Coturnix japonica: one gene and its partners. Each later gene encodes a partner of the first gene's protein in a complex. Links are inferred from orthologs where the notes say so. Each region holds a gene or a part of one and is shown in the gene's direction. Other genes may lie near its edges.

Region 1 (7,155 bases):
TTATTAGTGATTTATCAAGGAGAGAAAAGGAGAAAGATAGAAGAGGCTTGTAGGCTTGACATGAATGGTTCTGTAATATTTTTCAGTCTTGATAGAAAAAGAACTGTCTTAAAGGGTTTAAGCATGGAAGCTCTCAGTTATATTTTGTAATCAAATTGAGTTCCCATCCTAGTTATGGTGCTTCATAGGGAGGGAAAAAGCTAGGTTTTTTTATGATGTGGTATTTGTAACAGAGGCTGACCTTGTTGCGGTAGGTGTATTGAAACTAGAAAGTTATGTAAGTTTCATTTTATAAAGAGCTTGGATTTGGACTGAAAGACTGGAAGTTATTTACCTACTCTTGCTATGAGGAAAGCTATGAGAATGGGTTGAGGGATGAGGGCGTGTGTCTGTGTACATGCACACTCAGCTTCTCATTTTGCATGTTTTCAGTATAAATCAAATCTACTTTACAAGTTGAGCATTTCCTAACTGCGGTCCTATTTCATATTTACATTATGAGTTGAATTCTGTTCTTGTCATTCTGTGTATATCACTATATTTGAAAGTTCTGACACTGAATGGGATTCAGCCTGCTAATGTGGGAGTTAGATAAAAGAATAAAACACTGTTAATAACTTTCTGAATATGGAGATATAATTCTTAAAAACAGAAACCGTTTCTGTGGATATGTAGTTAGGTAAAGAACTATACACTCAGTATTTCTAACTTCAGCTTAGGAAGTTCTGCACAAATGTGCGGAAGAACTTCTTTACAGTGAGGGTAACGGAGCACTGGAACAGGCTGCCCAGGGAGCTGGTGGAGTCTCCTTCTCTGGAGATATTCAAGACCCGCCTGGACACCTACCTGTGCGACGTGGTGTAGGGAACCTGCTTTGGCAGGGGGGTTGGACTCGATGATCTCTAGAGATCCCTTCCAACCCCCACAATTCTGTGATTTTTTTTAAAAAAGCTTTGTTAACCTTGGAGGTATGAATGTTTTTCTAACTCTAAGTATGGGGGTAATAAAGGAATCGTTAATATGATTTTAAAATTGCATGGAATAAAGTTGTGGGGAAAACTTACTCTTCTTCCAGGATTATGTCAGTTCTTCTAGAGGTGAGACCTAGAGGAAAAAAGATTTCAGGCTGTTGAAAAGAACTGCACATACTCAGCAAATGGAAATACTGTATTAAAGATTTTCCTACAATGTAACAGTTATCATTTTTGTCTGAGCCTTTCTTATTATTTCCCTATAGTTGTTACAGTTAGCTCTTCTGAAGCATTTTTATGTTATGGACTGTGTAAGCACAGCTATACTTGGATAAGCTAGGGTTGTTGTTTTAATTTTCTTTTGGAAAAGGTTGGATAGGTAGTTTGGGGCCATAGAACTGAAGTTGCTTCTTACTGTAATGAAACTAATCTTCTTATATAAATTTTCAGAGATCATAATTTTAACTGTTGCTCTCATTTTAGGGAAACATTACCAAATGAGGAGGAAAGGAAGATGTCATCGAGTATCGGCAACAAGGCATTCTTCTTCTCCATGCAGTATTAAGCACTCCCCCACACGAGAAACCTTGACTTACGCTCAAGCTCAAAGAATGGTTGAAATAGAAATTGAAGGTCGCCTACATAGGATCAGTATCTTTGATCCTTTAGAGATTATATTAGAAGATGATCTTACAGCCCAGGAAATGAGTGAATGCAACAGCAATAAAGAAAATAGTGAAAGACCCCCAGTTTGTCTAAGAAGCAAACGGCATAAAAATAACAAAGTGAAAAAGAAAAATGAAGCTCTTCCGAGCTCACATGGCATACCTGCTACAACAGCTCCTCTTCCAGAACCAAAAGTACGGATTGTTGAATACAGTCCCCCTTCAGCTCCTCGGAGACCTCCGGTTTATTATAAGTTCATTGAAAAGTCAGCGGAAGAACTTGATAATGAAGTCGAGTATGACATGGATGAGGAAGATTATGCGTGGTTAGAAATAATTAATGAAAAACGGAAAAGTGATGGAGTGTCAGTTGTTTCCCAAAACATGTTTGAATTCCTTATGGATAGGTTTGAGAAAGAGTCTTATTGTGAGAACCAAAAACAGGGTGATCATCAGTCTTTAATAGATGAAGATGCAGTGTGTTGTATATGCATGGATGGTGAATGTCAGAACAGCAATGTAATCCTGTTTTGTGATATGTGTAATTTAGCAGTACATCAGGAATGCTATGGGGTGCCATATATACCTGAGGGCCAGTGGCTCTGCAGACACTGTCTGCAGTCCCGTTCTCGGCCTGTAGACTGTGTGCTGTGCCCAAACAAGGGAGGTGCCTTTAAAAAGACTGATGATGATCGTTGGGGACATGTTGTGTGTGCTTTGTGGATTCCAGAGGTTGGATTTGCCAATACAGTTTTTATTGAGCCAATTGATGGTGTCAGGAACATTCCCCCAGCCCGATGGAAGTTAACGTGCTACCTCTGTAAACAGAAAGGTGTTGGTGCCTGCATCCAGTGCCACAAAGCAAACTGCTATACTGCATTCCATGTGACATGTGCTCAAAAGGCTGGTCTGTATATGAAAATGGAACCTGTGAAAGAACTGACCGGCAGTGGGACAACATTCTCTGTAAAAAAGACTGCCTATTGTGATGTACATACTCCACCAGGTTGCATACGGAGACCTCTAAATATTTATGGAGAAGCTGAAATCAAAAACGGTGTTTGTAGAAAGGAGGGATCAGTCAGAACTGCTAGGTCTACATCAAAAGTCAGAAAAAAGACAAAAAAAGCCAAGAAAACAGTTGTTGAACCCTGTACAGTTATGCCAACTGTATCTGCTCCTTATATTCCCCCCCAGAGGTAAGCAAACCATCCAAGTGAGAGAAACCTTTACTTAATTTATCTGTTTAATTTTAAGCCAATGCTTTTAGATGGAGTCTTAGAAGTTTTTGTCCGTTTCTTCTGTCTTTGGCAACGATCGTGCTCAGGAGAGTAATGTAAATTCTGTATGTTGACAGTGTGTTAAAAATGCTGTAGCTTCTTTAGAGGAATTAGGAAGAGGTCTGAGGTCTGCCTTGTTTTCAGAAACTCCCTTTTTTTTTCCTTTTTTTTTTTTTTTTTTTACTTTGTCAGACCACATCATGTTGTGTGCTCTGTTGTCTGCTGTTCTTTTGAAAATTAGCTTCGAAATTCAAAATAGCTGATGTACTTGACATTTATTTAAAAAAAAAACAAGCTCAAAGTTAACCGTGTTTATAAGCTGGTAATCAAACTTCTTTTCCTATCTTGAGAACTCCAAAATGAAGATTAGATTTGCATGTATAGGATATTAATAATGTTTTTATCTTACCTAACTTAAATGTAAGCATGTACTGTATGATCTATGCAGGTACAAAAGGGTCTTCCAAGAGGTATTTTCCTTGTGGTACAAAATAATTTCTCAGGATATTTTTCCTATATCTTCATTAATGTTTCACAAATGCAATAGCGTTTATGAAGACTTGGGTGAATTTGTTACCTCTCATACTTTAGGTAATGCAGTCTTACTTGTGTAACTCAACATGAATGTGCTCTCCCATAGAATTATGCTGGCATATCTGTGGTCCCATAACTTTAGTACAGTTTCTCTTGAACAAAAACTAATGTGTGTGCAAAAGAGTTTTAACACCACGTTTGCTTACGAATTTGTCCTTTGTAAGAACTTCTGCTGATTCTTTTATTAGCGTATTGAAGTTTTCACAGAAGCTGTTACTTCAGTGCAAAATGTAAACATCAGAGCTGAGGATGCCCTTTACATCTAACATGCCATATTTTTATATTTTAGCAGTGATGATCAGTGGGCTGGCAGATGGCTCTAGATCTGGTGAGGCTAGTGAAGCGATGCTTGAATGAAAAAGCAGGAATGTTTTAAAGTCTGTTTTCATATGTAATTAACGGAATTGGAACAGAATGTTGCTTTTTGAATGCTTTTTATTTCAGGAGTTAAAGATTTTTGGAATGAATTTTGATTAAATTAGCTACACTGTAGTTCAAAAGAGCAGCGTTATCTCACTTCAGATTTCTTTCACCTAAACTGAGTTATAATTCATTTCAGTAGTGGAAATATATGTTTATGGGATTTGAGCAATGGAATAAAGCTCTGGGTTAGAAAAACAGGGTTTTAGCTCTGCTGAGCATTTCAGACATAATATACTGTGCTGAGAAGCATTAAATTGGACTGTTGGGACTAAAACCAAGTTTGTCTTTATTATTTGTTTTGCTTCCAGCATCTACAGCAGCAGTATATTTGTTTACCCCTTGAATTAAATTCTTACTGAATTTAATAACCGTACATTAAAAAGTTTCTCTGTAGAGGCACAAGTTCCATGTACAGGTTAATCGTGTACAAGGCTCTTAAGATGCTATAAATAAACAATGCTTTTTGAAAGCTGGCTACCAAGTATCAGGTGGTGGACGTTTGAAAACCAGTTAAATTAGTCTAAACAGTGTTTGGAGATGAGAGTTTTCCTGTAATAAGGACTACTAATGTATGTAGGTACTCACTGACTAATTTTGTCAGCCTTTAGCCTCCTGTGCGATGTTTACAGACATCATCAGGTGATTGCACTGTTCTGTGTCATGGCTCACTTGGCACAATTGTATTATTTTTGTTAAGTGATGCACCAATGAAAGGCTTAAGTTGGTAGTTAGCAGCAGATAATGTTATACGAACTAATACTGTTGTCCATGGGAGAAAGCTTATAAAAACAACTTACCTGAATGAATATCATCCTGATTGATTTTTATTTTGTGTCTTCTTGCCAACAGAAAGAACTTGGACTAAATGAGAGTTGAGAACTGGAATGTGTGTTCCTAGTTGTAGCTTTGGCAATTCTACCCACAGATGACTTTTGTTGAAGTCAGACCCTGACACTGAAGGGATGCCATCATCAGAATTTTTTTAAAGTGTTTTTAGTTTCCAGGAGCAGATATATAAAGACTGTTGATTTCTTTCTACTGAGAGATTCCATGTATGCTCAGGTTCATGTTACTGTATACATGGATGTTTGTTGGGATAACACATTCAAATGATACTTTATATCAGAAATGTAAAAACAAAAACAAACAAAAACACAAAAACTTAAAGTTTTTAACTTTGTTATAAATGTATTGTCTTCATGCAAGAAGATTCTTAAATATTCTTTTTGATAAGGATGCATTTAGTCCTGGAAAACTAATATCTGAATTGAAAGCAAAACAGAAATGGGCACGTTAAAAGGTGAATTTTATTTTCCTTTCCCAACTCTCAGTTGTCCAATTTTTTATTTTTTTGTTGTTGTTGTCTAGAAAAGCTGTGTTTTTGATGTGGAGTTAATTACACACCTATATACTAGTAACAAATTATGTGAAGTGTTTTGTATCTGTCTTCATTTAAATTGTGCCTTTAATCTGTTCTTAAGTATGTGAATTGTTTTTTCTTTCCTTGGAGTTGGAATGTGATTTACCTTCCCAGAAAACTTTAAGAAGAGCAATTATTCACCTGCAGAGAAGAAAAAATAGGCTCCAGCTTTAAACACTGGTGCATTTTATTTTATTTTATTTTATTTTATTTTATTTTATTTTATTTTATTTTATTTTATTTTATTTTATTTTATTTTATTTTATTTTATTTATTTTTATTTTTTATTTTCTTCCCCTAAAAAAAATGAAATGAACCTTATTCTTTCCATCTGTGAGGACTGAGGAACGCCTGGGGAGCTGTTTGGTTTTGGTTTACTTTCTTCATCATTAATACCTAGACTACACGTGTTCATGGCTGGTTCTTTAGAGATAGTAGTTGCAGTAGTACATAAATGCTAATTTGAACACAACTGCTTGGAGAAACTCCTTGTCATTTATGTTTAGTTGAATGTAGTAGGGATATATTTTGTTTCCTTATCTGTGTAGTGAATGTGTGTAAAAACCTGAACATTTTACTATCACCATTTTAGTAATTCTGTTCTCTGAAATGCCTCTGTTTGTTTTAAGATACGTTAAAAATAATGTTGTAAAAAAGTATCATCATTTCTACACAGTTTTTTGTAACTTGTGAATTTCTGTATCTCTGTTCCTTAGATTCTGCTGTGAGTGGCTTTGAGACCTGTATTCTTTCCAGTTACCATTGTTTCTTAGCAAATGTTATGCTTGAAACTGTTTACAATTATGTAGGTAGTATCATGCCTTGGTTATTTGTGATCTAATTATATGGCCTTTCAGACTGTCATCTGTGAACTGCTGAGCGCAATATCAGAAGGTGTTGAATGTCAATAACAGGAGATGAATGCTTGTTTCCCACTCACTTTTTATTTCTGGGCATCCATTTCTCATCTTGTACCTCAGCTTTTCAGGATGTCTGTATAAGTGTCCACTTCCAGAGATACAGTGTGTCATGTTAGAGCATTGAGGTGAATTCATTGCTTGCTTCTTAGTAAGTTGCTTAGTGCTTGGAGTAAACCACTGGGAAATTTTCTGGGTGGATATGCATCTGGCCTTCCTGGCTATATAAGTGTTCTTTAGTCAGAGATTCTACTCAATTCTTCTTTAAATATGAAGTACTGAATTGTTGATTATGCTGTACAGACAGTACTTGACTCACTGACACAGGCCTCCTGCAGCCACCAGCTGATCTGTCTGGAAGTAGTGGTAGGTGGATTTTGCACTGAATATCTGCAGGGCTCATGCTTCACTGATGATATACGGTGGTTGAATTTCACATAGTTAGATAAGAGTCTTTTTTCTAATTAAGTATGGGAAGTGTTTTCTTACATTTCAGGTCTAAAACTTCGAAGGTAGGAAATTTTGACTTCTACAGTTGAGTTGACAATCTAAGACTTCCTTCATATTTGTTTGAGTTACCATGTACTGGCTCTGTACTCCTTTTCTTGTGAATTGTTCCTTCTGTTGTTGGCTATCATCATCCTTTTTAATAGCTGCCTTACCCTGTGAATTAGTTTTTCACAGCAAACATTACAGTTTTTCTCTTATTCTTGAGTGCTTGATTCTGTAGCACAAATAACATCATTTTGGTGTAATCTTTTGATCTTGTTAAAGAGGCGTCTAAGATGTGATTGTTTTATGCAAAACAAAGTCAGTATTGGTATTTGTGTCCTTGAAAAAAATGTTGTATAACCAGGATTTTATGGGCATATACTTGAGGGAAAG
Region 2 (7,155 bases), on another chromosome or scaffold:
TAGCTCACAGTTGTTCAGAAATGTGAATGGTTTTTGGGTTTTGTTGCACCTGAGCAGGTAGAATCTACTGTAAGATTAGCACCCACAGCCCAGCCGAGTCAGCACAGTTAGAGTAGGTGTGATGCTGAAATCACTCAGTGGGTTTACTGAAAGTATAAATGGACCTGAACATCTGCAGAGACAAATGCCGCAGTGCCTTGGATGAGGAATAATTAGTAACAGCCTCACTTAATAGGTGTATCTTTTCAGTAAGGGAATGGACAGCTTCACCCATGGAAACAGCAGCAAAGGAATGATTAGAAATGAAAGACAGAAGTCTTGGCAGTAATTGGTGACTGAATGAGGTTAAAATCCTTATATTGTGGCTGAGGCTTCTGTAGGTGCTCTTCAAAGCTACTTCCCATCTCCAGAAATGAAGCAAAAGATTCTTTGATGCTCACCAGTGACAGTGGTATCTGGGATGTCTCAAGGCTGAGAGTTGGGCTGTATCTCTTCCTGCAGATGAGGGCAGAAGTGTTTAAAGATGTTTTCTAAGTCATTCTTCCACCACTAGCTAGTGCTTGCGAGCTGGGCTCAGGCTTAGTTTACTTGAGGGGTTTGTGGGATATGTCATTAGGTCACAGACTTAAAGTGAAGGATCTCCTTGAGGGAAAGAAATACAGCCCCTTCCTCTCAGCATCCCTTTAAGGCATATGTTAATAGCTGTTAATGGATTTCATTCATAGGAAAAGCTGCGGCTCCAGGGCCAGATCACAGAAGGCAGCAATATGATTAAAACTATCGCTTTTGGCCGCTATGAACTGGACACCTGGTATCATTCTCCATACCCAGAGGAGTATGCTCGTCTGGGACGTCTCTACATGTGTGAGTTCTGTCTCAAGTACATGAAGAGCCAGACAATACTGCGCAGACACATGGTAAGGGCTGGGAAAGGTCTTTGATTCCTGAGCTTCAAATCAGGCATGAGCATGCAGATGGTTTTTAAGCATTATTACTGCTGTCAGTTCAGTTGTTCACTTTGAGAGGTGAGAAGATTCTGGGTCATTGTAAAAGAAAGTTTTCCTAGGCTTGATTTCTGGTCTGTTCAGTGGGTTACAGAGGATCAGAAATGAGATCTTAACTTAAATTAAACAAGCTTGCGTGTCTCCTGGTGTATCCAGCAGCTGTTGTAACCTCTTCTACCTTTAAAAACAGTAGTGTCACCCTAATTTTGTTTACTTCTCATAGGCAAAATGTGTTTGGAAACATCCACCAGGTGATGAAATCTACCGCAAAGGCTCCATTTCAGTGTTTGAAGTCGATGGGAAAAAGAACAAGGTAATTAATTGTATTAATAGGCCTAGCATTGCTTTTCCTGTAGAGAAACAGGATGCAAATGGCTCTTTCTCTCTCTAATGGTGGAAAGGCTACTGCAGGCTGGTCTGTGCATTCTTGCAATTCTGACGTTTGTTTTGTCTGCATTCTCACTGTGGTTATTCCTCACTGCTGTTGTGCACATGCAGTTTCACCTGTTCTCTTGCACTCTGTTGGATCAATAGCTTTTGGGGGCTTATGGCAGGATCCCTTTCTTAAAATGAATGGGGAGCTTCTGTGTGTGGCTTCAGTACATTGCTACTGCATCTCTCATTCAGCTGTGAACATTCACATTTGTGTTAGAGTGGAAAGTAGGCTGTTATTACTGAGGGTGACCTTGACCCTCAAATGAAGGGTAGAGCATCTGCAACCACAGGTTCAGTGCTAGGTAGCAGCAGTCTCTAGGTGTGTCCAGTCCTGAAGGCTTCAGAGGGAAGAACTGATTCAAAGCTAAGTTTTGCACTGCCAGAAGTTGGGGGGAGAATTTCTGTTTCCCACAGGTGACCTTGAAGCATGGGATTAATACAAACAAGCAGAGGTCCAACCTTCTGTTTCCTTTCACTGAGAATGTGATGTTTTGAGTATTCAGAGATAGGTATCACCAACAGAAATTCCCACTCTTGCAAATTTCACCTTATCAAGTATCTTCATAAATGGGATTGTTTCTGTCTGAAAGGCTCCACATCATTTCTCAGATGCAGACCTTCCTTTGTGTTTCCCACATATGTCTGGTTTTGTTCACACTCTCCTTTTGTTTCTAGATCTACTGTCAAAACCTATGTCTGCTGGCAAAGCTTTTCTTGGACCATAAAACACTGTATTATGATGTTGAACCATTCCTCTTCTATGTCATGACAGAAGCTGACAACACTGGCTGCCACCTGATAGGATATTTCTCTAAGGTTGGTTGCTTTCTTCTTGCATATAAACCTGTTAGATGGCAGAAGTGGGAGTGACTGCTGCTTGGGTTCAGTTCCATGTGCTGCCACCCTGAGCTTTACATTGTGCACCAAGCACCCACTGGCTGATAAAGTCAGATGCTAAGCCAGCCTGCTTTCACCTTGTATTGAATCAGTTGTAAAGGCTTGTTCTGTCTGATAGGGTTATGATACAGCCTATTGTTTGTGCAGATCTAAACTTGTTAATTTGTTCTCTGTATTCTTGATTTTTTAGGAGAAGAATTCTTTTCTCAATTACAATGTCTCTTGTATCCTGACAATGCCCCAGTACATGAGGCAAGGCTATGGCAAGATGCTCATTGACTTCAGTAAGTATAAAGAGAATCATTTTGGAAACATTCAGTTTGGTATAACAATTTCACCCCAGTATCTAACATATCTGTTAGATATGTGTATCATATCAGTGTTAGATCTGCATAGAAGCATTTGTTAGAGCTGATTTCTTCTCGTGCTGAAGAGTGTAGCAGTCAGGAGGGCGTAGTTTGGGAAGGAGAAATAAATTTCCTTTCCTTACAGGCTATTTGCTTTCTAAAGTAGAAGAAAAAGTTGGCTCTCCAGAGCGTCCTCTGTCTGATTTGGGTCTCATCAGCTACCGGAGCTACTGGAAGGAAGTTCTCCTTCGTTACCTGCATAATTTCCAAGGAAAAGAGATCTCTATAAAAGGTACAATTTCAACGTGAATAAACCGGTTCAGGAACATGCCTATGCAACCTCAAATATGAGACAGGTCACGCTCATCGCATTGATGCACGTGTTTGTGTAGCAGCACAGTTGGTGGAATCTTCCTGTGTTTGGATATTGCTCCTCTTTAGTCCTTCCAGCAGCAAAAATAATCCAACTTGAAGAGTTCTGTAAGCACCTTTGAAAATATTAAAAGCTTTCAAATGTTTTGCAAGTGAATTGACCACAGGCAACCTGTATAACAGTGCTACAGATAACCAGAGCAGTCAGAGGCTAAGTCAGATGCATAAGACTTTAGTTGAAAACTGACTGTTACAGACTGTTGCAGTGGGATTTGTTTCTATTCTAACCTAAACTGCTATTGGTTTGCAGAAATCAGCCAGGAGACTGCAGTAAACCCTGTCGACATTGTTAGTACGTTGCAGGCGCTGCAGATGCTGAAGTACTGGAAGGGAAAACACCTGGTCCTAAAAAGACAGGTAAGGTCTCTCATAGCTCTCTTTGCTCCTTTATTTCTTCATTTAGCTGTTAGATTCACTTGAACTAATGAAGTCAGTGTTATCTTTGGTGTTCGGGCTGATTTCAGTGGGGAGCGCCATCATTTTGAAATGCAGTGGCTACTCAAATAAAACATCAGCGCTGAGCTTGATTTTTCAGTAGTGTAGAAATAGGCTGCATAGACTGATATTATTTAATGTATAGGATAACATTGTTCATTGTAAGCAGCTTTTAGGGGGTTGATGGATTGACATTCATCTCTTGCCCCTCATCGTGCCTAACCTTTATTGGGCAAATGGAGGCACAGTAGTGAAATGAATCCTGAATGTGTCCTGTTTAGATCCTCATTAGGTATAAGACAAATGATTTATAAACCCCCAAAGATATGTCAGTTTCTCTCACTGATGTGCTCTTTCCGAAACTTTGTAGCTGCAGGAAGCCTTATCAGTGTGGTTGGAAGTGCTTCTAGAAAGTGCTGTGGAATAGAAGTTATTTTTGAGCTGCTCAGCAGTTATGGAGTGGGTTAATCAGATTTCTGGACTTCGATGTTTGGTGTTGTACTTTGGATAATACCCCCATCACAGCCTGTTTGTTTTAACCCACCCTTTTGTGCTCTTCTCCTCAGGATCTGATCGATGAATGGATAGCCAAAGAGGCAAAAAGATCCAACAGCAATAAGATAATGGATCCCAGCTGTTTGAAATGGACCCCTCCGAAGGGAACTTAACTGTCTGTCACTTCTGAAGCCAGTGAACCCCAGCAGTAGGAAGTACCCTAGGGATCTCTGTTGTACCTGTTGCTGTTGTGATTGGCTGGTACAGTACCCTCCCAAAAGATCAGCTCCCCTTGGTACTGTTCTGGCCCGGATCTTTTGTGCACACCAGAAGCTAGTTCTGAGGAACTTTATGTTTCGGCCTCAATGAGGTTGCAAGGATTGGATCTGTATAGGACCCAAACGAAGCTCCTAGTAGCGCTGGCCCAAGGAGTTCTGATATCTGGTACTGTACCTGTCCAGTCACTGGTCTTACCCTCATGTTCTTATTCCGATGAGGTTGTGTTGTGTCCTGTTACCTGGTTGTTCCTTCCTTCAGGTTCCTTGCTTTGTAAGTAACGGAGGTAACTTCTGTGGCTTTTGAACAAGGTCTAACAACACTTGTTTGCAGAAAGGCTGTTTTCCTAAGCAAGCTGCCATTTACACTGACTCCAGCATTTTTTAACCAGTCCTGTCTGATGGGCTGTTCCATTCCACGTGTGAAATAATACTACTAAGGCAACATGCCACCTCTTTGAGCAGCGTTTTCCATACCATACAGCAGGTCTTTGCATAGCTAAGATTGTGCAGTCAGAAGCTTATACCTATCTTGTGACTTGAGTGCTGTGATTGTTAGTGTTATCCCAGGGGAGTGTGAGCTGACTGCCTGAGAAATCCACAGTCTGATAAACTTCATAGAGCTGCTCTTGCTGTGTGCTCCTGGATCTACAGTGGTGCCACTTCTATTGGGGACACCTCTGTCATTGCATATTGCTGCTTACCTGGTTCTTCTCATGGAGCTGCTGGGTTCCTTCACACAAAACCAACCCATTTCACTGGGGATGTTTTGGATCGTAGGCCTCTTTCTATTGAGGAAGGATTTTTTTTCTTCCCTCAAGACCGAAGGAATGAAATCTTCACCGCAGATAAATATTTGCTGACCTTATCCAAACAGCCACAGAAACTCTGAAATCCAAATACCACCAGTTGTTGGATTGCCTACAATTTGTGTTCCGTGCATCAGTGGCAGCTTCACGTAGCTGTGTGGATGGTTTGTTTCTCTGACAGTGCAGCCTTGTTTGTCTTTGTAAAACAAGAAAGCTTTTACTTCCTCTGTCCCATCAGCAGCACCAGATGAAACTATCATACAATGGCTTTCAAGTATAACCACTGTCTTTGTGCCTCAAGTTTGCTATATGGCTCCGGCGTCATTAAAAGGAGGGCACAGACTTGGGGTAGGTGATGGCAGCATCATTTAGTGCTGATTTCATTGAAACCTTCCAATGCTTTTCTTGTTGTTGAATGGTGACTGAAGTGAAGCACTTGCAGCATCCCATACCAGTAGGTAGGAGCCATTTCCCGTTAACCACTGACCCATCCTTGTGTGGTAAAGTTCTCTGTTGCCCTTCTGGTGGTTGTCTGCCTTTCTCTGCCTCTTTATAAAAGAAGAAACTAAAAAAGAAAAGAAAAAAAAAGACCATCAGTCAATGATGTTGTACTTTGTGGGCATTACTGAATTGTGCTGTCTCGTGCCCTTTGCTCCTGTATTGTAACTAACTACAGCTACTCACAAAAATACCCAACAAAGTAGATCTCTGGAGTAGGGAAGAAGGCCATTCTTGTACAGAAGCTAAACCCCATTCCCAAGATGTGGTAGAATGTGCTGTTCTTGTATCTACTTCTCAATAAAGCATGTTCTCTGCTCAGGTCTGTGCCTTCCCTGCATTTTCTTGTCTACTCTCCATCTTCAGTTAAGCAGAGCTGCCGCTTTATGCTTCAAGGAGCTGATTTGGGACCCGTCTTTGCGCCTGGTGTGTTAAAGGCACAAAGCAGCCTCAAGGTTGGATGTTACAGAGATTGAAGCCCCGTGGATTCACTCATGAGCTGGTCCTGCATGGGAGGCTGCCAGGAGGAGGATGTGGAAGCAGAAGTGTGTCATGGAGCATCAACTTTAATTCTAAGAAGGAAGGAGTTACCCTAAAAGTGATCATCTCAGGTTTTGAACCTTTCTTCAACTGCTTCCATCACCAGAATCTCCTCTCTCCTCGTACAAGTGAAGTCTTTGAACAATAGCAGCTGGAGTTCATTGCAGAGCTTGAATCTTTGGGTTTCTGATAGGAGGTCCTTACAAGGAGTCCACTCAGTGGGGAAAGAAGAGGTAATGTTAATTAGGCTCTGAGCTGCAGGGAGGCAATGATGCTGTTCAGAGCAAGGCCAACATATCAGTGGTCGTGGCTTGGGACTTGAGATGCTCAGCTTGTGAAGAGTGAAGTGAGATGCAACACCTTGATGTCTGTGTTCTCTATAAGATCACAGATAAAACCACAGACACTTCCCTGAGCGGTGATGTTTGCTAACTCACATCGAGGCTCTTCCTGTTTCTTCCTTTCCTTACTAACAAAGGCCATTTAATATCAGTTAAAATAATTCCATTTAAGGCGATACATACATATGGGAGTGTTGCTTTTACTTGAGCACAGCTTGGCATAATACCAGCTACCAGATTTACTTTTCTAAGTTCAGGAAGATACGGCGTGGCTTAGTTTGTAGATAACTGTACAGAGAGATGGGTTGATAAGAGCTTTAGTTCCCACACTGCTCTGCTCACAGCTTCAGTTTCCCTTCCTCTGCCTGCTGTTTATATTTGTTCTCTGTACATCCCATTACACGATGGGGTCTTCTCTTGGCTGTGACTTTGGGATCCTTAGGTAATGCAAACACTAATTAAGCAGTGAGTCACACAGAGAGCCATAAACATCGCTAGGTAACTGAGGATGAGACATTCAGCTGCTCACAGTTTCACCCACAGTTTATTCACAGCGACTTCAAGCTTGCAGACACCAACACATACAATGTTGGTGGTTTGAAGCCCACTTAAAAATGGTGATGCTAAAAGAAAGCAATGGCTGCTTT
Region 3 (6,195 bases), on another chromosome or scaffold:
TCCAGCACTGGGCATATCTAAGCAGAGGGCCTTGGGTACAGAGTAGACTGTCATTTCTAGATGCCATGGTGTAAATTCAAACTTATTTTAAATGCTCTTCAGGTATTCATAGAGTTGTGCTGGGCAAAAAACAGGAGAAGGAAAAGATCTAGTGCTGGGCTCTCCTTGTCAGTGTCCTGAAGTGGCGCTGGTTGTAAGGACACTACTGGCCACGGGGAACTAACCATGATAGTACTGAACTGATGCTCAGCTTGTGATTCCTACAGTTCTTGAGTTGAACAGTCGCAGCCTCAGGCTTAGTCTATCGCTTAGATTTGCAGAAGGCAATACATATCTCATCATATATGTTGCTATTTATTAAAGTCTCGTGTGACATTATGGACCACTATAACATACAATAATCTAATTTAGGTTGGATATTAGGAGGAAGTTTTTCACCCAGAGGGTGGTGACGCACTGGAACAGGTTGCCCAAGGAGGCTGTGGATGCCCCATCCCTGCAGGCATTCAAGGCCAGGCTGGATGTGGCTCTGGGCAGCCTGGGCTGCTGGTTGGTGACCCTGCACACAGCAGGGGGTTGGAACTGATGATCATTGTGGTCCTTTTCAACCCAGGCCATTCTATGATTCTATGACTTGCCAAAACTGCAGGTGTAGGACTTTGAAGCTTGACAATATTACTTTCAAAACTGGTGTGTTTGTGGCAGAAAAGTGTATGTGCATTTCATAATCAGTGCTTGTGTTTGGTTGCATGTGGCAGAAAGATTTCAAAACCACAAATGCTCCAAAAGAAAAACACCTGAGGGTGGTATTCAGACTGATTGAAGCGATGCTTTATCCTTCTTTATAGAGGGAAAAAGTCAGAAAGACAAAAGAAGCTCTCGTGGTCGAGGCAAGCGAACATCTGAAGAGGACACACCAAAGAAAAAGAAGCTGAAAGGAGGGTAAGCCGTAACCAATCACACTTCTGGTGACTTGAGCTCCACACTTCATGAATTTTCCTTGTGTTCCTGTTACCCTATTTATGACTCTTGTGTTGGGATGTTAGTGACGTTCCAGTATTCTGGTCTCACTAATTAGAGTCCTCCTTAAGACAAGTTAGCTTTGCTAATTAACTCCTTGCTTGCCACATGGAAACCCAGCATGCTTGGAATGCCCTCTGTCTGGAAGGACGAGATCAGAGTCTCTGTTGCTGTTGGCAAGCTGGGGGAAAATACCTTTGATTTTTGTCATGCAGCTATTTTTAACAGTTGCTTGTGATATTCATTGTAAAGAAACACTTCTCGGTTGGGACAAATGCTGATGCTGTGTTGCTCTTATAGAGATCTTGCAGAGTTTTTTTGGTTGTTTTTTTAAACAACAGTGTACTGAATAGTCTTGAATAATATAATTGTGTTCTGTGAAGCAAGGAAGGAGGCATTTCACCTGTCTGTCATGTGTTTTTTTTAAAGGCACTCTGTTAATTCCAATATATTCCATTGGTTAAGTGGCAAGTTGAAAAGTTGTTTTTGTTTGCAGCTCCGAGTTTGCTGACACCATCCTGTCAGTGCATCCCTCAGATGTCCTGGACATGCCTGTGGACCCCAACGAACCCACCTACTGCTTGTGTCACCAGGTGTCCTACGGGGAGATGATTGGCTGTGACAACCCAGACGTAAGCACTTGCTTTATTGCTTTATCGTCTAAATGCACTCTGTATCTTTTGAGACAGACAGTGAAATTCAAGGGGGTTACTTGCTCATTTTATCATCCAAAGTGAATGTAGCTGGTGAAATGCTAAGCATCTCCTCTGTGGATTTTTCCTTTCTTTTGCAGTGCCCGATTGAGTGGTTCCACTTTGCTTGTGTGGACCTCACCACCAAACCAAAAGGGAAATGGTAAGGACATGCAGGTTTTTGACTTCTGTCAGGCTATAGTTTCTCTCCAAAGGAATCACAAAAAGAATTGAAGCCCCATGGTGACCCTTCCCAACAAAGGAACTTCGTTCTTGTGGTCGGAGTTTTACACCATGTTGGGTTTGGGACTATGAAGGAGTGCAGAATTTCATGATAAGCAGGGCAGTCCATGAGCTTAGGCTTTTGTCAGAGTGTACAGCTTACATCTCATGTTTGCATTTGTTGATGTGATTAAGGTTAGGAAAAGAATATTTTCTGTTCTGCTTAGGGGAGCACAATGTAAGACTACAGCAGTTCTTCACCTATTTGTGTGCTATTTTAGAAGGAGTCCTAGGCTTTTTCCGTGCTTGCTTTCTTTTGCAAAGGAAAAAAGCTTTGCTAAACGTTGGCTTTTGCAATTAAAATACCACGCTCTTCAGTTTGCATAACAAAAGCAAAATTTAAAGAGGAAATGCAACGGCAGTACTGCATGGAGTGGGAACAAGTGGTAAGACTTGGTCATTGCATTTCAATCGGATATGGCGGTGGCAGCATGCAGTTGAATGACAGTTGAGTTGTTGAGTCTGCAGACTTTTAAAGACATGCAAATCCTTCTGTTTGGTTCATCTGACTATAAGATGCATGTTAGAATCGAGGTTAAGCAGAAGTGAGCTGCAGCCATTTGCAATCATTGCTGGGGCAGAATATCATTTTTCCTTTGACTGTAGAAGAAGCTGATGTACCAGCCTTGAGAAATTTGGTTGGAATAGCTTGTGGGTGAATGCAATAGAGCCCCTCAGAGCTGTGAGGGGCAGGTGAGCCCCTGTAGCCTTCCAGTGCTGTCCCTTCTGCCCACCAGTGTCCATACGGTTCGTTCCCTCTGCTTAATATTGCTGCATGCCATGTGAAGTGTTGCAGTTGGCTAAAATTAACACCGCCTCCACTCATTTCCAAGTAATGGAAAAGGCTCCCGAGTAATATGTTGTTAATTTTAGGAACTAATTAACAGCCAGGTTTTTTTTTCTCTCTCTCTGTAGGTTTTGTCCACGTTGTGTTCAGGAAAAAAAGAAAAGCAAGAAGTAAAGGGGAATAACCTCCTCTGAGGCGAGAAGAGTTTTAATATATTCCTTCCTTCATGTTGCAATATCATCTTTGATTTTGATTGTGATTTTAAAAGCTGCCCTCCTCCCATTTCTGATACGCTATTTAATTACCCAGCGGCCAGTTGTAATTCCTGTTCTTTTGTAAGAAAGTGACTTTGGGAAGGGAGGAATTTGCCACAGGGATTTTATTTATGTTACTCTGGCACTGCACTGACATCAGTGTTACTCCGAAGTGCTAGAACAGCCCATAGTCTGCTTGTGTTTTAGGAGTCTGTTAAACCCTGAGAGGCACTGCAGGACATTGAGATACCCAGCCTTCGGTGTGATGCTGCCTTCGGTGTGATGCTACCATCGCTGAAGTCATTCAGACCTGGAGCTTAGCATGGCAGGAAAAGCAATTCTCTCTCGTGCAGCCTACAGGAAAGGATTATCTCCATTGCTCTGGTGTGATGCCCCTTTGTTGTGCAGTTTTGTAGTACAGAGAGGATCGAAAAAGCTGATTAGCTGCTCCCAGTGGCTGTTTCCTCAGAGCCAAATGCTGTGCTTAGTATTGGCAGGATGAGTACGGGAGAGAGAGAGAGAGAAGACCATCCTTAGTATCTTCTCCTTTGGGGGAATTTATTCTGTCTAACTTTACACTGCCATTCTTTTACTTGGTTTTGCTCATATCCACAGCCTCAACAGAAGCAAGCTGTGGCTTTTAACCTCCTCGTGTCTTCTGGAACAAAACCTTTAAATATCAAAGGGGTTTTCCTGCAGTGCTGACAGTAGTACTGAGAGAGCAAGTTACCTTTCCTGTCAGTTTTTGTTGCTTTAAAAATGAACTTTAAGTGTGTTACTGTGAAGTTGATACCCAGAGTATTGTGGCAGGGGGTCCGATTTATCCATGCAGTAAGATGAAGGCTTGATGTTCTTATATCTCAAGCTTTAAGGGGAGATTCTGTTAGAGCAGTGTGTACATGCCAGTGATGATGCAGCAAAGCTGAAGGGCGGCTGTGTGGTAGCGTGGTGGCAGTTTGGTTCTTGGGTAGCTTTTGCTATGAAAAAGTGCCATTAGAGAAGGCAACGCAGCAGGAATGTCTTTAAGTCACTGCTTGTCTTTTTTGAGGGGCAACATTGCCTGTTCTTGACTTCTTGAAGCTGCCTTTCAGGTCTCGAATGTGAATGTTTGCTGTCATCACAGCGGTTGCTGCAGCAAAAGGATAAGTAGGAAATCATGAATAGGAAAACAAAACTCTGTTCTATTAGGGTTGTTTTTTTTCTCCTTCCAGAGTTAATAGTGGATGCAGAAGTCGGGGGAAGAACAGATAACTGTTGTCTTTAGGCATCCCCTGTATTATGAGGCTTAACTGCCTACAACAGAGACATTGTGGGTAAAGGCAGAAACCCATTCAGCAGAATGGAGCAGGGTCTGTGAGCTTGTGATGGCTGTTAATGGCATCTGCACATTGCTCTGCATGCCAGCTCTTGATACAGGCCGTTGGAAGGGCTTCCAGATAAGCACTTTCTTCTGCTTTAAAAACAACCTGACTAAACAGTACAGAAGGGAAGAAAAAGAAACCCAAAACAAATCAAATCTGACTTCAGCACCAGCTCCCAAAAGAAAAACGTTTTTCCTTGCCTTGCCCTGGCCACATCGTTTGTGTTTGGCCAGGAAGGAAAGTAGAACTCAGCTCATGGCAGTTCTGCCTTCCTGCTTTGCTCTGTTGTAGCTGCTGCAGGTACATTCAGATTGTCGCAAAGAAACCTTTTGGTACTGATTTCTGTGAACCCTCGGATGTATTTGCTGCACAGAAAACCTGCCTGCAGGGTCCTTTTGTTGGAAGGGTGACATCCATCTTTGCTGCATCGCATCACTCCGCGTTGTATATGAAGTTTCTGTAGTTAATGTTTACAGGACGATGCATGTTTGTCGTCGCTGCCCTGAAACTACACAGACAAGTTTGAAACAGCTGGTGGGAAGGGAGAGGGAAAGCACAACCTCCCAGAGCTGGGCTTAGAAATACAGCCAGCCTTCTCCTTCTTCCTGCCTCTGTTTTGAGAGTAAATGTAGTTGCGATACCTCATGAGCCAGCCTGTAATTCAGTACCAGCAGTAAGCCTGTACCTCACTGACCTGCTACACTGGATTCCTTCTAAGGGTGACTGTCCTGAAGGCTGCGATGCTGTCCCAAGTTCTGTTTTCTCCTTCCGTCCAGTGCTATTGTAAAGGTTTCCCCCTTGTCTCCCAAGGCTTTAGCAGTGCACGGTATCACCGTAAATCAAGCATTGGATTTGAAAAGGAATCCAAACTTAGATTGTGCCTCTTGGGAGACCTTGCTGGGAATGTGCAGGTATGGAGATGCACGGTCAGTGCCACACTGACTGCCTTATGCTTAGGAAAGATGGTCAGGTGGGACAGCAAGATGTACTTTGTATGTGTTTTCTTGGGCTCAGATGCTTTCTATTTTAACCAGCAAAGCAAAAAAGAACCAACCAACCCAACACTGTAGAAGTTGGTATCAATCCTCCAAAGGGAAAGAAGCTCCAGCAGGCGCCAGGATCAGCGCGTGGTGCAGAGCCTGGTTGTTCATACAGCGTAACACCGCCAGTGTGTCCTCAGAACCCACACCAGCAATAAACCCAGCCTGCATCCACGCTGGGGGACACACAGCCTTCACTTCTGGTGGCGAGAAAAAGAGTCATCAAATCTTTCTCCTGCATATTGAATGTAAAGTGTTAAACAGGCCCCGATGGAGAAGGATGGACGGACTGGTGACCACTGTCAGTGCACCACAGTGCTGGGTGGTGTCCGGCTTTACTCCAGCTCAGCCAAACGGGAGGTGAAACGGCGTCAACCCTTGTTTTATAAAGGAATTTGGTCTACGTTCCCTTTGGAAATGGAAGAGGATAGAAATCTTTTTATCAAACAAACAAAACAAACAAAAAAAAAGAATGTAAAGTTAAAGATAATAATAATAATAAATGTATATCTGTATTTTTTTGGATCACGTTATAGATGATGGATATATTGATATAAATAAAGTATTTTTGGGAATCGAGCTGTCGGAGCAGTTGGGGGGTGTGTGGTCCTCCCTCCCGCAGGGGGCGCTGTGTCGTTCTCCGTCTTAGTTTCTCGCCGCTCCGTCCCAGCCATGGGGATCCCCGCAGGCCCCGCTGTGCTCAGCTGGTCCCGCCTGAAGCGGCTGCTGGGCTCCTATGGGACGTGGCGACCCCCGAGC

The links. The genes of interacting proteins can lie anywhere in the genome.
Region 2: the proteins of BRD1 (region 1) and KAT7 are in contact, whole or in part, in a crystal structure (PDB 5GK9), measured with the Homo sapiens proteins. The link is inferred for Coturnix japonica from reciprocal best matches to the Homo sapiens genes BRD1 and KAT7. Residues at the interface, in XP_047297239.1 of Homo sapiens: Val40, Ile42, Glu43, Ile44, His49, Arg50, Ile51, Ser52, Ile53, Phe54, Asp55, Pro56, Leu57, Glu58, Ile59, Ile60, Leu61; in NP_008998.1 of Homo sapiens: Leu531, Phe534, Gly536, Lys537, Glu538, Ile539, Ser540, Ile541, Lys542, Pro552, Val553, Val556, Gln560, Leu565, Tyr567, Lys571, His572, Leu573, Val574, Leu575, Lys576.
Region 3: BRD1 (region 1) and ING5 share a complex: the UniProt entries of both Homo sapiens proteins name them as parts of the MOZ/MORF complex. The link is inferred for Coturnix japonica from reciprocal best matches to the Homo sapiens genes BRD1 and ING5.

What each region holds. Positions count from the first base shown.
Region 1 is NC_029516.1:16,759,281-16,766,435, reverse strand, and holds part of BRD1 (bromodomain-containing protein 1), read left to right. Parts: intron 1-1,454; 5' UTR 1,455-1,468; coding exon 1,469-2,835; intron 2,836-7,155. UniProt on the Homo sapiens protein: Scaffold subunit of various histone acetyltransferase (HAT) complexes, such as the MOZ/MORF and HBO1 complexes, that acts as a regulator of hematopoiesis.
Region 2 is NC_029542.1:2,699,176-2,706,330, reverse strand, and holds the end of KAT7 (histone acetyltransferase KAT7), read left to right. Parts: intron 1-725; coding exon 726-917; intron 918-1,227; coding exon 1,228-1,317; intron 1,318-2,114; coding exon 2,115-2,255; intron 2,256-2,526; coding exon 2,527-2,620; intron 2,621-2,828; coding exon 2,829-2,975; intron 2,976-3,365; coding exon 3,366-3,472; intron 3,473-4,116; coding exon 4,117-4,218; 3' UTR 4,219-5,950; downstream 5,951-7,155. UniProt on the Homo sapiens protein: Catalytic subunit of histone acetyltransferase HBO1 complexes, which specifically mediate acetylation of histone H3 at 'Lys-14' (H3K14ac), thereby regulating various processes, such as gene transcription, protein ubiquitination, immune regulation, stem cell pluripotent and self-renewal maintenance and embryonic development.
Region 3 is NC_029524.1:3,636,745-3,642,939, reverse strand, and holds the end of ING5 (inhibitor of growth protein 5), read left to right. Parts: intron 1-848; coding exon 849-942; intron 943-1,516; coding exon 1,517-1,652; intron 1,653-1,813; coding exon 1,814-1,875; intron 1,876-2,909; coding exon 2,910-2,955; 3' UTR 2,956-6,015; downstream 6,016-6,195. Other genes in the region: D2HGDH (D-2-hydroxyglutarate dehydrogenase, mitochondrial), read left to right, coding at 6,109-6,195. UniProt on the Homo sapiens protein: Component of the HBO1 complex, which specifically mediates acetylation of histone H3 at 'Lys-14' (H3K14ac) and, to a lower extent, acetylation of histone H4. Component of the MOZ/MORF complex which has a histone H3 acetyltransferase activity.